2 linked regions of the Struthio camelus genome follow. The protein of the gene in region 1 purifies or fractionates together with the protein of each later gene. This does not show direct contact. Links are inferred from orthologs where the notes say so. Each region holds a gene or a part of one and is shown on either strand. Other genes may lie near its edges.

Region 1 (8,059 bases):
ATGGATCAGCGAGACTCCTCTAACAGAAGCTGAAACCTGCTCCATTTGTCAATTGTGCTATCACGTGGATAATAGATGCATGGTGTGTCTGACTCAGGCCACGAGAGCAAGAGGCATGCCAGCAAGAGGCATGCTCTGCTCGAGGCAGAGCAGACCTGGCACCATCCTGTTCCACCTGGAAATGTTTTTCTCTGTAGCTATAGAGCCATGGGGCTCAGGCACAGATTCAAGTTCTTTCTGCAACAAGTTACTGTGAGCCAGGTGAGCTGTGATAACAGACTAAGTGCATGCCCTTAGCTTGAGGCTAATCCAAAGTAACCTGATTTAGTTTAACCTTCTTTCATTGTGGGCTAAGCTCGGCCACATTACATGGCACTGCTGCAGTCACACAGACTTACCCTGGCTCAACTGACACGGTAGGGCTAAGGTAATATGATCTGGTGGCAGAGCCATTAGTTAGTAGTGAACTACCTGCCACGACTTTACAAAAGCTAACTAGACTAATGTGCTATAACCTAAATATTTTCCACCTTCTATAAGAAAGGTGTGAAAAAAATCAATCTTCATTTGTAGGGATGGTTGAACTAGTAGTTCAGATGAGTACGATCCAACCAAAGTAGTCTCTCTAATTTCAGTGTGAATCTGCCTTTTTTGCTTTCTTTAAGCTTCATTATTGCAGGTTTAACATATTGGAATCAGATTTACAAATTAAATGCTGGGTTAACTGGTCACTCTAGGTTTTTGTGAGAGGTTTTAATGTCTGGCTGTCCCCTGCATTTCTCTGGCAGTCCAAGAGCCCATTCTTACAAGCAGATAACATACAGCATTGCTTTTCCTTTAAGAAGAGAACCTGAATTTTAAAGCTCTGATTACGGTGTCAATATTATTCATTACAGAACCCTTGCCTTCAGGTCTGAATTGCTTCATTACTGATCTCTCTTGGTAGCGAGACACATTTTGGCATTTTGCTGTCTGTGCTGCCATTTAATATCTCAGTTTGACAAGAGGTTTTGGATCTAAATTTATTACCATTTCCACACAGGGCTTGATCGTGCTCTCTCCACGTAGACAATATTCCTACCTGATTTTTAATTTTGCTGTCCTGATTTCAGTGAGAGTTTGTTTAAGATGCAGAAATCAGGCCTGTGACATACCTTAGTTGCAGTTAGTGACAAAAATATAAGGTAAGAAATTAAATGCTTGTGCCAGGGCCAGGCTGTGGAGCTCCTCTTTGCGTTAATGAGCAGCTGTACCTGGCAAGTCCCTGAAAGCAAAGGTACTACTCACCAGGGTGACTATTAGTAACCACTCACATTATGGTAAAATCCACAGACAAACACAATTATGTTGCTATTATATTTGGACTACAAGCTCTGTCAACATACAGTGTTTGAGAGAATGGGCCTCTGATCTCTGATGCAACATAAATAAACAACAAGGATTACAGCTGCCTTTGAACATGCAGAACCACTACTCAACACCATTAGCATCTGAAACAACTGGTCCCCATTGACAGCACTTCCTTAAAGAAAAGCTTAGCAAGGCTGCCTGTCCTTATTCAATAGACCCCAGGCAGCAGAATTAGCAGAATTACTTATTGCTGTCAGAGGAGGGTGGCAGGTGAGTGACAAGGTCATTAAAGGAGCAGAGCTGGAGACTTTGCCTGCCTTAGCACTCGGTTTACCCCGATCAGCTTGTAACTCAGTAGAGAACCTCAGTATTTATGGCTCAGCATCGGATAAACCACATTTCTAAAAACAAAAATAAGTAGTTGAGAGCCTGCAAAAGAAAGAGAAGAGGAGCAATATGCTTGTTTTGCCTTTTCTTTTCCGAGAAATGACTGAGTCCCAGATTCTGCAGATACTGCTCCACATGTTAGCCTTTACTTCTGAACACAGCAGGACATGACTGAAACTCTTTAGAGTAAATGAAGCTTCCACTTTAGTCCTTACCGTTGCACCTTTCAGGCCAGATCCTCTGCTGGCATTGGAAACTACACCAATTTACAGCACTTGAAATATTGACATTTTTGCTGTATTTTAGGTCAATTTCAAGATAAATCACTGCAGTTTTCCAAGTATGCTTGGAAGTAAATCATTTTTTTAAAAATAGAAAGATTTTCAGTGCCCATCAGAAGTGGAGCATTAGAAGAACAACCTCTTATACTGTCCAGCTACAGCTACAGGCAAACATATTTTGTACTAACAACTTATGCAAAGTGGTCAAGTTATAGCCCAGCGCTGAAGGAAGCAAAAAAGCTAGCTTTCCCAAAGGAATCCTCCAAGTAAACAAACCCCTTTGTCAAGCCCCAGCTGTTAAAACAGGTCACCTATCAGTCTGGCATATCGTACAATGCCATCAAATTATGATTCCAAACAGATTCTTTACTGCAAATGTATATATCTGCACGCTCTTATTTCTTCTTAGAAAGCATCAATTCATGTAGCATTCAGTGCAGTATTAGCTTTCTGTTGTACCAGCTGGAAAGCTTTAAGTGAAGGAAATCATTCACTTTTGTCACTTTTTTTCTTCACACTGCCCCTTGCACACTACACTCACTGTACCTTAGCATGCCATAAAAACGACGACAATTATTTCTGAGCAAACTATTCTAGGGAGAAAGACATAAGCATCACCTGCAAGTAAAAGAAAAATAAGGAAATGATGGAGCTACAGTTCTGCTTAACTATTCTAGAATTAACTTTAAACAGTAAGTGTTTTATGGCTTATTTAAAAAAATAAAAGTAGAAACACAAAAACTCCACAGATTATCTTAGGGTGTTAGGTTACAAATTGCTAGAGAAATAAGTATTTGCATAGCCATAGCAAACTGGCAGATTGAAAATACAAAATAAGTTCAAAACATGCACATTTGCATTACCTTTTTGTCCTGAAATAAAAGGCTAATAATATTGTTGAAATGAGTTATCTCCTTGATTAAGTCTTAATTCAGAAAATCCTCGTTGGTATTCATCTCCCTGCTTTGCCTGGATGTTTCGATCAACTGCAGGACAGCTTTGAAACACTCTCACTTTGAAGCCTGGAGTTTATTTCTGGATCACCCCATGATCAGCGAATACAAGCCAAAATATAAGTTGTTCTGAATCTCAGATTTCCTGTTTGAAGATGCACTGGAGAAACTTTTACCCATTCTAAAGTTCTTCTTTGTTGCATTAATCTGTGGAACTTCACTTCATCGAGCATCCTGTAGCTAAATGACACAAAGTTGACCTTTCTATTACATCATTATTTATTGTCCCTGACAAGCAGACCATATATGGACATGTTTCTGGAACCTAAAGAAAAAAAAAGAAATTACCGTATAATTTTGAAATAAAATATGTTATCCTGAAGAGTTTTATTTACTGGGGCGAAGGGATCTCAATGTACCTTTCCTGTAGCTGCTGCTTGTTAAAAAAAAAACAGGGCAAACATTACCACGGGTATTTATAGATGCTTTACAATGGTTCATATATTTTTAAGGCTACAAATGTGAGACTTCAGAATTCCAAAAGATGACAAAAGCAGCTGTGAACCCGTTCCAAGTAGTATTTGTAGGAGCTTACTATTGCAAAAGAACTGCTCTAATAACATGTAAATATGAAAGACAGACCCTATGTCAGATTACTTGAAGCCGTAAATGTGAAATGGTAGCCACCTTCCCCACATCTGGTACAGGGCAAGTTGGCCAAGGAAGAGTGAGCTCTGATCCAAGGATGAGCTAGAAGAAAATAATCAGGCACACATAGAAGAAATGGATTAGCTGGAACACGGGGATAATACTCAGTTTGGAAAGGTTAGTATGTATTGTCCAGCTTATATAATGAATGAGGGGGAACAGCACAATATGAAATCAAGATGATGCCTACACTTTTTCCTTCAGCTCTTACTTCACTGATCCCAGTGGCAAAACAATGCACATAAGTAGAACACACTGCAGATCATAATGGGTCTCTTTTTACTTGAGAATACCTTGTCAAACTTCAGGCTAGTTGTACTCACAGTGTCCATGCATAAACATCGTCCACTTAAGTCTTAGCAAAAGCAATCTTGAAGGGGGCATTTAGCAGGACCACATCATCTATAATATGTGATCTCTTCCAACTCACCTGCTTTGCTTTTAGGGTCTTTCAGGATCAGCATCATTCCCTCTCCTTGCCTGCTCCTTGCTCCGACTTGCTCAGGCCATTATATCACACATCCACCTTCTCTGCTGCCCGTTAAATTATTTGCCCCTTGTAACTGTGTGTTAGAGCAATTGTTTTGCCTATAGTTAACGATATGCAACAGTTACTGTGGCAGGTGAAGGAACTCTGGTTGTCCCTGCCAGGAAGGTGTGAAACTCTCATATCCCTGACAACATGTCAGCCAGCTCTCCAAGACTTTTAAACAATACCCAGACCTTTTTTCCTGATACTACGTCAAGATTGTAATGAGCCTTGGCTTAAAATCAAGAGTGAAAATCTCCCTGATTTAACCTTTCTGTTTGCCTTTTCGCTATTGCTCATTGGATCTACACCCTTGGCACTCTTATAATGTGCATGATGTCCCATTGACCTTAAGGAAAAATGCTGATACTTCGGTGTAGACTCACACCTTGCAAAGGCAAGGGTGCCTAAGTCTTCCAGAATGGACTATTTGATTAGAAAGAAGATACTGGGCTCAAGGTCCCAGATGTTATGAACATTGCAGGTGGTTCCCCACGTCATTCACACCACACACGCTGCAGTTCCCTCCCTCTCACACTCCTGGGTTTCCTTCCAATGCCCAGTCACCCCTCCCCACACTGAAGGATACTCTAGTCCTGAGACACAAAAGTGAGGAGCGCGTCATTGCAAAGTGTGAACCATGCCCTGCTTTTTTTCAGCTTCATCCAGAACAGACCATTCAAGCTGCCCAGCACTTGCCCAGCATGTTTGGGTATGTGCAGAGAGATATGTAGGACTTAGGGCATCAGACCAAGTGGTAAGTGTAACAGTTAGGTGTCTGCTTTGGGTGCAGGCTGCTTTGGTGCACAGCTAGCACAGCACAGTACTGTAACCTCTTCCCCACTCCATGTTTCAAACAACGAAATGCCACAGGATGGCAGATCACGGATGAGCACTGCCAGCTGTAGCTGACAAGGTGTAGAGAAGGCTAGCCAAGGAGAACCACCATGCAGGAGCTCTTTGCACGAGTGTCTCACTCAGTGCATGAAACTGGACATACATGGCAGCATATGTGCCCGTTGCTAGAGGATTGCAGCACTGTGGGCAACAGGGATCTGATCCACTTCAAGCTCCTACAAGTGCTGCTGCACCATTTTCTGATGAAAGCACAGGACTCTGCTTCAGAAGGTCTATTTTCAAATACCACTAACTCTCCCTTCTGTCTTGAGTAAACCATTTAACTCCTCTGTGTCTCATTTTTTACATTAGTGAAGTGGAAATAATCAAATGCATTAACTCAGAGAAGAGTCCAAAATTCCTTGCAGATGGGAAGCCAATGAGACTACTTATACGGATAAAGATTGACGAATAAGACCTTATTTAATTAATATCTGTGAAATACTTTGGTATCCTCAGAGGAAGACCTCATAGAAGTTTAAAATATTAATTACAGAAATATTACTATATAGGAATGAAATCATACATTTGGGGGTTGATTTTTTTCCAATAAAACAATGTTGTGGCTTTATTACAATGCATCCAAAGCATAATAATAACAGTCATTATGATTTATTAGCATTGCATCGGACTTTTTAATATTTCCCCAGGGACACAATCAGTTATGGATCTGCATTTTCAGCTTAACCCCAAGACATTTCAAGAGGTTACAAAATGTTACCTGTAAAAATAAATACATAAATTGAGCCCTTTTTTGGGACAAATTTCAAACTCAGTCACTGCATATGAGTAACTTTTATTTCTCTTTAAATAGAAAATGATGGAGATGATAGCCAGCTCTTACTGACGGGGAAGTCAGGGTCTCGCAAACAGGGTACAATAAAAGAGAGTTGAATCTGAGAGAAGACAAAGGAGGATTACCACAGGAAAACAAGAAATGGATAAACAAACAGCAAGATTCTCTTTATTCTTCATATTTCTTCAAAAGAACCAGCAGAAGTAGGTTTAGGAAAGCACACTTAACATTTGCTCCATTTCTGGATTTGTTCACAAGCTCAGCTTCCATTACTTTGAATTAAGTAGCCCTTCAGTTCTACTAAGCACCGTTTTGTTTTAAAATACACCTGAATCAAGCAACTAAGGCTGGTGAAAAAACAAAGTTAATTTATGCAAACCAGGAGACCAATAGGCTTGTTATAGACACATTTTCTGGGCAAAGCTGGCAATATTTCTGCCATCTCATGAAGAAATGCATGTGAGAATGGACATAACCACAAACTATATTCTCACTGATAGCATATTACTACTGATGATGACTAACTCTACTGCAGTTGGCTCATGGGTACAGTTCTGAAAGCAAGAAAATATTGATTAGTTGCAACAGAATAACAGTCTCAGGACATATAATGTGGTTCCACTCATATGTAATAGTTTTTAAGCGTATGAATATAGCAACTACTGAATATACGCAGATACGAGATGCAAAAAATATGCAGCTAGGGGACCTATTGCATTATGCAGTTGCACAGTCGCTGTTGGATTAGGTTTTCTGCTGACAATTTCTCATGTGTAAAGCAGAGCACATCACAACGCATCACAATACTTTGTCACAGCACAGCGTACTACTTTATGCACCAGTTACCTGGAGCAGTTCACTTGATACTTATACCTTGTCTGAACTTTTTCACTACAGAAAGACAGCAGTATATTTTAGGTGGCATATTTCACTGAGAATATAGATCTAGGGCACATGTCTCTGCACCTTTTACAATCATATTCCAGTGAGCAGAGCCTCAAGCTTTGCCTTACAATTAGTGTGGGCCATGCTGTGCTATCCTCAGACACTCCCAAAGATTAAATGCATATATCAGAACCAAAAACAACCCTCCTGTATCTCCATGTTCAAATAACAAGAAGACAGAAACTCCCACAGGGGAAGATGGTTTCAATTTCCTTTGCAAGAACTAATGATTGCTTTGGCCACAGTACCCTGAGAGAGGCAAGGAGCCAGAGGCACTTCTACGGGAAAAGGTGCAGAATGTCACACGTGCCCAGGGTAGGGAATACAATATACATTATTTCTTGCTGACTTTGCTGCCTAAATACTCCAGTGTTGCAAAGATGTAGGTGTTTTGAGTTCTCTCGACTAAGAACATAATTCCTCTTTCAGGAGGAATTCATCCCACTCTAATAGCTCCTGATTCACACCCACAAGTCCACAGGGTGGACTTTGGCTCAGTATACATTTTCCATGTCTGCACGATGGCTCTTCATAGAGAGTTTTCACCTCTCAGTTACAATCAAAATGGAGTCCTCACTCCTTTAGTGATATGACATGAGCTAAAAAGGGAACACCTAACATTCAGGTTCCTAAGCCCCATTTCAGATATCTGATGACTCAGCCTGGACCTGACCTCCCAGTGAGCTCTGGAAGAACCTACAGCTACTGCACTCATAGCCTCCCTCTGCAAATGTCATCGTAAGGTCACATCCACTGACTCAAACTGAAAGAGGAATCAGTCAGAGGAGAACATGAAATGCTAATACAAAACGAACATGACCTGAAGACTACATAAACAAATACGCGTCCCTTGGAGGAGGTGGGAAAGCATAAACATTATCTTTTAGTTACACTTTACTGTGCAAATATCATTTATTTTATGTTACAATGTGCATTAGTAAGAATTGTTATGAAAGGCTAGTTCTTTTTCTTGACCTTTATAAAATACACAAAATTCAGAGATATTGCTGCAGCCTCATTGCTCTGAGGCCCTTGTAGGGGAGGAGGACAAGAATGCCAGCATGAGACACAGACTACTGTGTATAGCAAAGATACTGGCAAAAAAAGTGACTTCAAAGCAGCAGTGATAGAAAAGTCAAATAGATTTTGATGGGAACCAACATTTCTATGGAGTTTTTTAAAGCAGTCTGTAAAAAACTACAATGGGACTATA
Region 2 (8,073 bases), on another chromosome or scaffold:
GATGCATAGAAAATGAAAATGTGCTTACAAAGGTAAAGATGTATCTCTCTCTTCATTTGAACTGGGATTAGGAGTATGAAAAGAAAGCAACTATTAGGCAATTGTGCAAGTTTTCTGTTTTGAAGATGGGATGTCAAACACTCAGAGCTTTGGATGGGTATTCTTTTATGTCCCATAAAATCAGAATCCAGAATAAATTCCTACTGAATTACACTGTATCTTTGCTCTGAAATTATTCCAGAAATGTATACAATTTATAATCAATTAATAAAACAATATTCTGAATTTAGATACCTACTATTATGTACCTTGCCATCTACAATTGTCAAACAACCTTTTTTTCCTATTCTGTAGCATGCAATAGGCTGAGCAGCTATAATTCTAGCTGAACAATCATTTGAGTAACTGAAAGAAACTTGGTTCAAGTTCCTGCATTTAGACAGGACATCTTCAGTAAAGTCTGAATGAATAGAGCCGATGCAGTCTTCCTCTCTGCAATAATGAATTTCTATTTACAGATAAACACAGTGGAAAAAGTACATAGGGAAAACTCACTGAAAGAGCTGTTATGTTCTGTGCTACTCTTGTATGCTGACTTCTCAGTGTCATGTGAGCTACAGGAGTCTGTGGGGAACAAATGAATTTTAGAGTGCCAGGACAGTATTTTTCCAAAAATGCTTGTAATTTTTTTTTTTTAAGAGCTGTTTAGATGATAAAATAGCGCCCCCTCCCCCAAATAGTAGTTTTTCAGCTAATAATTATTCCTATAAAGCAAGATACACAGTGTTAAAGGTACCTGACTCTTACTTGCTGTGCAACTTTCACTGCTAATGTAAATTTTGGCCCATACACAGTGAGCGTATGAGTAGATGAGGTGAGAGGAGGCTAGTCAGGACATAAAAAGGAGGTAACACTTAATTTTTTTTATTTGGAAAAAATAGTTTTAAAACTCATCTCCTTCACGCTAATTATTGAAAGCAATGTCTCCTGCTGTGTCCCTCTCTCTGTCTCTCTTTCCCCTGCCCTATATGAAAGGACATCTCAGGCTTTCTGAACCAATTCAGAACTGTATCTCTGTTGAACTGGAGGCTCAGGAAAGGAATTGGTAGTGCCTCATGGCCCCTTATATGAAGGGGAGAGGTGCAAAGACCAGAGGAAGGGATCGTAATTGTTTTTGCTGACCACCTTTGGTATTTTACTGACTTCAGACTGTTTTTCTATCCCTGGCGTGTCAGCAACAGAGCAGTTCCCGTTGTTCCCACTTGTTGCTGTCTCTCCCTTCAGCTGCAGTGCACCCTGCACAGTTGTGCAGGAAAAGCTGCTTATAGCACTGTGAAATTAAGAAATCCAGGAACAGTTACAGGTTAAAACTTGCATTGCCCAATTATTAAAAAGTGTATTTTATATTTGCATTTGCAAAATGCATGACAAATGTGCTACATCTTGATGGCATCCAAATATAATTACATTTTGTCTTATAGGTTGTTCTAATGAGTTTTTACAACTGAAGAGGAGAATTGCATCTAGTTTCCCTCTCACCTCTGATAAGAACAATTAAAGACAAATGATATTTTTTGGAAAAGAATTATGTATCTGGGAATTCACCTAAGCAATCCAGCTAATCATGTAAGTTTAAAAAAAATAGGGAGAGAGGCAGCTGATACTCTACAAAGCAGAAATAATGTGCTTCAATTTCAGAAAATTTTTACTTTCCAAACATATGTTCAAAATTCAAGGATCCAGTTAAAATTATTAAACACCCATGTGAAAAGGTATAAGAAGACATATCATCAGAGACAGGAAAATTACATATACATTTTCTTTTCAAATTTCAAAATTTGTTTTTAAACTTTTCTAGATCATGCCTAGTCCCACTAATTCAGATTCACAAGTGCCATAACAGTTTAACAGGGGAGGGAGGAATATGATCAGGTACAAAGAATTGAATCTAAGAAGTACAAGTGTGTGACTACAGTAGTTGTTACAACCTTGTCGTTGATCTTTTCTAATATTCTCTTTCCTGATGCAGTAAAAATATGATAGCTGCTAAGAGCCTGTTGAGAGACCTTGTGGTAAGATAGGTCAGCAGGGAGAGAGAGAGAGAAGCAGTTTTGCATCTAAATATTTTCACTGTAGGTTAATTGTATTTCTCTCTGATTGGGAAATAGAGATTGGGGTTTTTTTGGTGCGTAATCTATAGTCCAGTTTATCCTCAGACTCTGCTATACAGCATAATGATGCTGCAGCTTGAGTCTCTCACAGCTACATATGGTGGGTCCTCCCAAGTTTACAGATCTCTCAACTCTGGCTGAGCCAGAGGCTCAGTGCCATCAAGCCAGTAATGTTCTTTCCCTGGCTGCCGACTATGAATTTGGGAATTGGACAGTGTGGATTGAGAGCAGTGTGAACCAGCTAAGATAGGAGCAAAGTATCTTTTTTTTTTTCACCTGATGTTCAGTGGTGAAAATTTTTTATTTCTATTCACACTTACTTCACGGCACTTGGAAAGCTGGATAGGTGTACCACTTACTCCAGAAATAATTCATTCTGAGCATGGCCCACAGAATGACTTGGAAATGATTTCCTTCTCAGCAACTTGAACTCCCTTGTTTTATGCTATACTGAGAAAGCAAAAAGAAGTCTTTGTTTAGCGTGCCGGAGTAGTGTGAGTTTTAACATTGCATAACTGAAGGTAAGAACAGTTCTGATTTAGAGCCTCAATTATGAGTTTTACAAATAAAAGTTTTCAAGTTCCTGAAGGTGAAGAAAATAAGGGATTGATTATGGATCATAAAATTCAGGTAATCTAGCCAAAACTGCTTTTTCTTAAATTAACTTTTATAAAGTGCATATTTAATTAAAACGATATACAGCATTATAGTCATATTTTGTCAGAGTGAGAATCCATGTTTAAAAGATCATAAAAGCTACGTGCTTAGAATTTAGGATGAGAATATAGGTTTTTTTTTTTTTTAATATTATTGTTACTATTACTTACTGTATTGTTCCAGTGTCAGAAGAGGGGCTGAAACTTATCAGATTTCCTCTGGTAGTAATTTTTTCAATTGGTAGTGTAGGAAAATGGTAGAAATGTATTATGCTCCAGTTACCCTTTCCTCATGGGGGTTATTCCCAGCTGTTATGGCCCTAAACTGTTCTTAAAATTTAGTAAAACCGAGCAGTCCATCTTAGTAGAACTGTTTAAGTCTCAACCACTTCCTGAACCAGCTATGGAAACTGTTTCTGGCAAACTGTTCCTTACTGCACCTTTTTCCAAAGAAACACAACCTGTGCTCTCCTAGAAAAGCAGCTACCTCTCTCCCTTCTCTCTACTCAAGCGGATATGAGAAGTCTTAGCTCCAGCTCGGGTTTTCTTGCTGGTTTGTCAGCCCACCCCTGGTCAGAACTAGGGACAGAGAAGACTTTTTCCTTTAGTTTTTTTGTTCTGTGGACAAGCTGAGGTGAATCAGTATTGTCCATCCACATCTGCAATGTCTCACTGTTGATCTTTCACATTCAAGCTGTGCTATGGGATATGGGAGTGTTTTATGGTATACCTCCACAGAAACGTCCTAAACGACATATAAAAGTAAATGCTACATACATATGTAAAGCTGCTGAGAAAATTATTTGGTTTTTTGGTTTTGTTTTTTTTTTTTAAATGGGGATTTTCTGTTTGCTTCATGCATTTAACGTTTGGAAAACTGTTTAATAATTCTGGGCCCCACACTAACAGCCTCGCAAACTTTAAAACAGAAATTGAAACTGGTCTTTCTTCAAATAATTACTTTCTCCTTATGCAATTTATAATAATCAGATATTCAAACCCAACTTGCCCTACTTATACAAGTGGAATCACTTGGAGTGATGGGAGTACTCTAAGGTTTCCTCTGCTTCGTTGTATTCGGTGTCCCAGCTGGCATGAGAGGGCTGGGAGGGCTCCAACAAATAGGTTCTTTGTAATTAAGCAGGATCACTGATGTAGTGAAATGCAGCTCCCTGGGGTTTCTGTCTCCTGTGATGTTAGTGAACCATCGGGGACGTGATAGCCTGATAATATTGAGGACAGTAGACCAGAAATTTTTAACTAGATAAATGCACTAAACTAATCCAATCCCTGTTGAATCAGGATTTTGATGATGTTACTGCTCCAGAGAACAGGAGAGAATGGAAGTAGGTGGAATTTCATTTTCAGTCCTGTTATGCTACCTTCGTACCTGTTGGACGGCGGAGGCTTGTACCGTTTCTTTGGGTATAAGAGAGAGACACCCTTTGTGTCTCCTTTGTGCTGCCAAAGATTTTGTCCTTAAAATCTTTGTTTTCATCTGACGCTTAAAATAATTTAAAGCATAATTTCCTTTAAATGCATACTATTAATATAACACATTATTTTAGTGTAACTCCATGACATTGTATCTTATTGGAACAGATTGTAAGTGTTGTGGTTCTTAAACGCAGCCTAATCAAGTACTCTGAAGTTAGCACGACGCCCCAGCTGGCAATACGCTCGGAGAACTTTGTGCAGCCGACGCACTGGAAGCTCTTGAGAAGAGGAAAAGAAAGGTACGCTGTTTCTAACTTTTGCTTGTAAAATTTAAATTACTCCCGTTAATTTGTTTGTCCTCATGTTAACTATAGCAGTCTGTCTTTTCAACTTGTGCATGAATTTCGACATTAACAAATTTACATTAAACTTCAAAGTAGGCTTAAGGAGATGGGGCGCTATTTTGGAAGAATGAGTTTTATATACTTTTTTTTTTTTTTGGATTAAGGTGAGGAAAGGAATCCAAATTCCTCTTTTCTTTTAAAATAATTATGGGTATTGCTTGCCTTGGTCTTATCCAAGGGAGCTGGGGCCAGACCCCGGCCCGGCCCCGACACCCCTCACGGAGCCGCCCGGCCCGGCCCTTCCTCCGGCCGCGGGGTGGCGCTGCGGCCCCGCTCCGCCGCCCGCCGCCCCGCCCCTCCGCCATGGCCGATGTGGAGGACGGGGACGAGCCCGGGGCCTCCCACTCACACCCGGGCTCCTCGGGCTCCAAGGCGGGCGCCGCCGACAAGATGTTCTCGCTGAAGAAGTGGAACGCGGTGGCCATGTGGAGCTGGGACGTGGAGTGCGACACCTGCGCCATTTGCCGCGTGCAGGTCATGGGTAAGCGCCGCCCGGCAGGCCCGGCCCGGCCCGCCATGGCCGCCGCCCCCGCCGCGGGGGAGGTGTCGCCGGCGGCGGCTCCCGCCCCGCCCGGCCGCCGCGCCGCTTCCCCTCGCGGCGGGGGCGGGCGGGCAGACGCGGGGGGCGGCCTCCCGCCCCCCCCGCCCCCCCCCGGCCGCTTCTCGTCCGTTGGCGAGCGCGGCCCGGCCGGGTTACGGCCGAGCGGGCAGACGCGCGGCGCCCGTCTTTCTGAAGAAGCGGTAGCGGAGGGACGGCGGCGCGCTCGTAGCCGCGCGCACCGTCGCTGAGAAGCGCAGCGAAAAACAACGGCGTCGCTTACCTGGCGTTGAGGAGACTCTCTCCGGGTGCAGCCCTCCTCACTGGCTGGCCTTCGTGCTTTCTGACCGCTTTGGGTCTTTGGAAATTCCGTAAATTCCTCTTCCGCTGTGTCTCTGTATCCGCCCTGGCCTCTGTGCTGAGTCATCCCCGACATAACTGCCCGGGAGCCCCTGGGTGGGTCGGCAGCGCGGGGCTGCGCTCGGCGCGACGGGTCGCCTGAGGTCCTGCCGCGCCAGCCCGCTCTGGCCTTAACCTTTGGTCCCGCTTGGGGACGCGGCAGGTGCCGGGCAGCCACTTCTCAGATCCGTGTTTTTACGGAGAAGGGTCGTTGGAACAGAAAAAGCACGCAGGTGTCCTGCAGGAAAGACACAGCCCAGACTGAGGCGGTGGGAGACCGGCCTTTTCTCTGAGCGTATCTTGAAGTTGTTCCAGGCCTGCTCTCAGGTGGTGAATGGAGACCAGCCCAGAACTATGAAATTGGCTTTATCTGCTAAAAGTAAACCGTAATTTTAGGAGTGAATTTGCCTGTTCCAGCTGTTACTGCTACTCTATGATTTATGAGAAAACAGAACTGCTGGAGAGGCAACTTCACTTGATTACTCAGGACTGTTACAAAAACAATCATTCCACTTAAAGGGAAGTGTAAAAAGTCCTCAAAAAGTCATCCAGATGTTTTACGAAAACTTTTAAAAGTGGCTATCGGCTTTCTCTGATGATTTCAGATGAAAAATACTCCCTTGGTCTAATTATGAAAAATTATAAATGAACAATTTTTAAATTTAGCACAAACCAGATTTTTTGAATGTGAAACTTTATTATTACCACCTTTAGCAATTTAATGTTGACCCCTGCCAGACCTGGTCTGGCTGCTGTAGATCCAGCGCATCTGCAGTAGCCTTAGGTTGGAGGCTGAGCAAGACTTGAGCTGGCTCTGCATATCTGAGGTTGGTTTGCCTTTTTTTTTTGCAGGGGAAGGAAATGTGAGCTGGCTTAATTTTCTTTACTGGTTTAACTCCTTGAACCAACTTGGGCTTCAAGGATCACAGAAGCACGAGGGGAAAGAAGCAGCAATGCAGAGGCGTTGTCTGGAAAGGGCAGGATTGCAGCAGTACTGACTTAATTTATTTAACCTTTCACAGACTAACACCCTTAGGATTGTGATGCAGGAGTTGGGGGGCAGCTTATGTTGGTACAGGTGTAGTGATTTGTGTCCTCAGCTGTCCGTGCTGCTTCTTTGTCTGAAACAAACCCAGAGCTGGAATAGGTAAGCTTCTTTTACAGCAGCTACTAGCCCACCGCAGCTTACTACCCAGCATACTGATGCGACTCCAGATCAGTTTATTTTGATGTGCCCTGCTGTAAACTGAAGCAGTTTGGCTGAATCTTCACTGCAGTTTGACCCCTAGATGCTATGGAATTATCATAATAGAAAACAAGAAACTTTACTTACTGCCTTTCTTTCATCTTCGTGAGGAAAGGACAAATACTTAAAAGTTTGGATGCTCTTCCTTCTGTATTAGCTGAAAAAGGAGGACTATCTGGCAGGTCAATCTGAAATAGAAGCACCTTGCAGTATCTGGTAGAGAAAGAAGAAATACTCGGACTGAAAGTCCTGTGTTATGTCAGTTCTGTATGTTGTAGAACAATGTTCCAGCTGTTGACCTGCAGGCCCAGTCCAGCCTCTGGGATGCTTTTGTCTAAACGATTACCTCTCCTTTGCAGGAGATGAAGATGTGTTTGCACTGTGTATGCTGCCATAATAGTTGAACGCTTTGCTGTGCACGATCTGTGCATGCGTGTCTGTGGCAGTCCAAGTTGGAGCAAAGGAGAAATGAAGGCATGCTTCCTCTGTATTTGTGTGGCCCGGTACAAAGCCTGGAAGTTGTCCCTAGTACATCTGTAATCCTGAATCTGTCATCTAGACCTGTAGGCACAGAGACTGGAGCGTACAAAGAAGATAAATATTTTTAGTTAGATGTTTTCCCCATTTATCTCCTCATTTATGCTATCAGACTGATCAGTGTTTAAAAATAGTTTGTGTGCATATGTCAGTATTGCAAAAATTACAAGCAGGTATCCTTTAAGGAAAACAAACATTTAAAAAAATGGTAGTAGTAGGTGGGGGTGAGGTGGGAGATGTAGAGGCTAAAGACCATCAAATTTTTGAATGACTTCCTTAAAAGGAGATGTTGGCATCTGAAAAACAAAGCCCTGTAATTAGGGTTTGGCTATGCGCTTGCTCTGGTCTTGGTATGTGCGAGTGCCTTGGCACAAATCTGGCTGTCATATCTGCAAAATGGAGAATACTTTTTTCAGCAGAAGTTGTGAAAATACTGAAGCAATGGAAAATAAACAAAAGTTGTTGAACAGTTTGTAGTCCTTCTGATCTCTTGCAGATACGTATTTCCTTGTGTCGTGTGCACTCTTTTAAATTTTAGGTGGGAGGACAGTTTAATGTTAAAGGGCTGATCCAGCAAAATGTTAGATTTTACCTATGTTCTGGAGTTTATACTTTCCTTTAACAAACAATTCTTCAGACAGTATCCTGAGCATCAAATTGGGTTTTGTTCTTGTTTACTTTTAGA

What was found. The genes of interacting proteins can lie anywhere in the genome.
Region 2: the proteins of ASB2 (region 1) and RNF7 purify together in Homo sapiens (affinity purification with western blotting; 3 studies listed by BioGRID and IntAct, with this or other methods). This does not show direct contact. The link is inferred for Struthio camelus from reciprocal best matches to the Homo sapiens genes ASB2 and RNF7.

What each region holds. Positions count from the first base shown.
Region 1 is NC_090946.1:66,721,486-66,729,544, forward strand, and holds the start of ASB2 (ankyrin repeat and SOCS box protein 2), read right to left. Parts: upstream 3,218-8,059; 5' UTR 2,882-3,217; intron 1-2,881. UniProt on the Homo sapiens protein: Substrate-recognition component of a SCF-like ECS (Elongin-Cullin-SOCS-box protein) E3 ubiquitin-protein ligase complex which mediates the ubiquitination and subsequent proteasomal degradation of target proteins.
Region 2 is NC_090950.1:15,209,309-15,217,381, forward strand, and holds the start of RNF7 (RING-box protein 2), read left to right. Parts: upstream 1-4,916; 5' UTR 4,917-4,971; coding exon 4,972-5,149; intron 5,150-8,072; coding exon 8,073-8,073. UniProt on the Homo sapiens protein: Catalytic component of multiple cullin-5-RING E3 ubiquitin-protein ligase complexes (ECS complexes), which mediate the ubiquitination and subsequent proteasomal degradation of target proteins.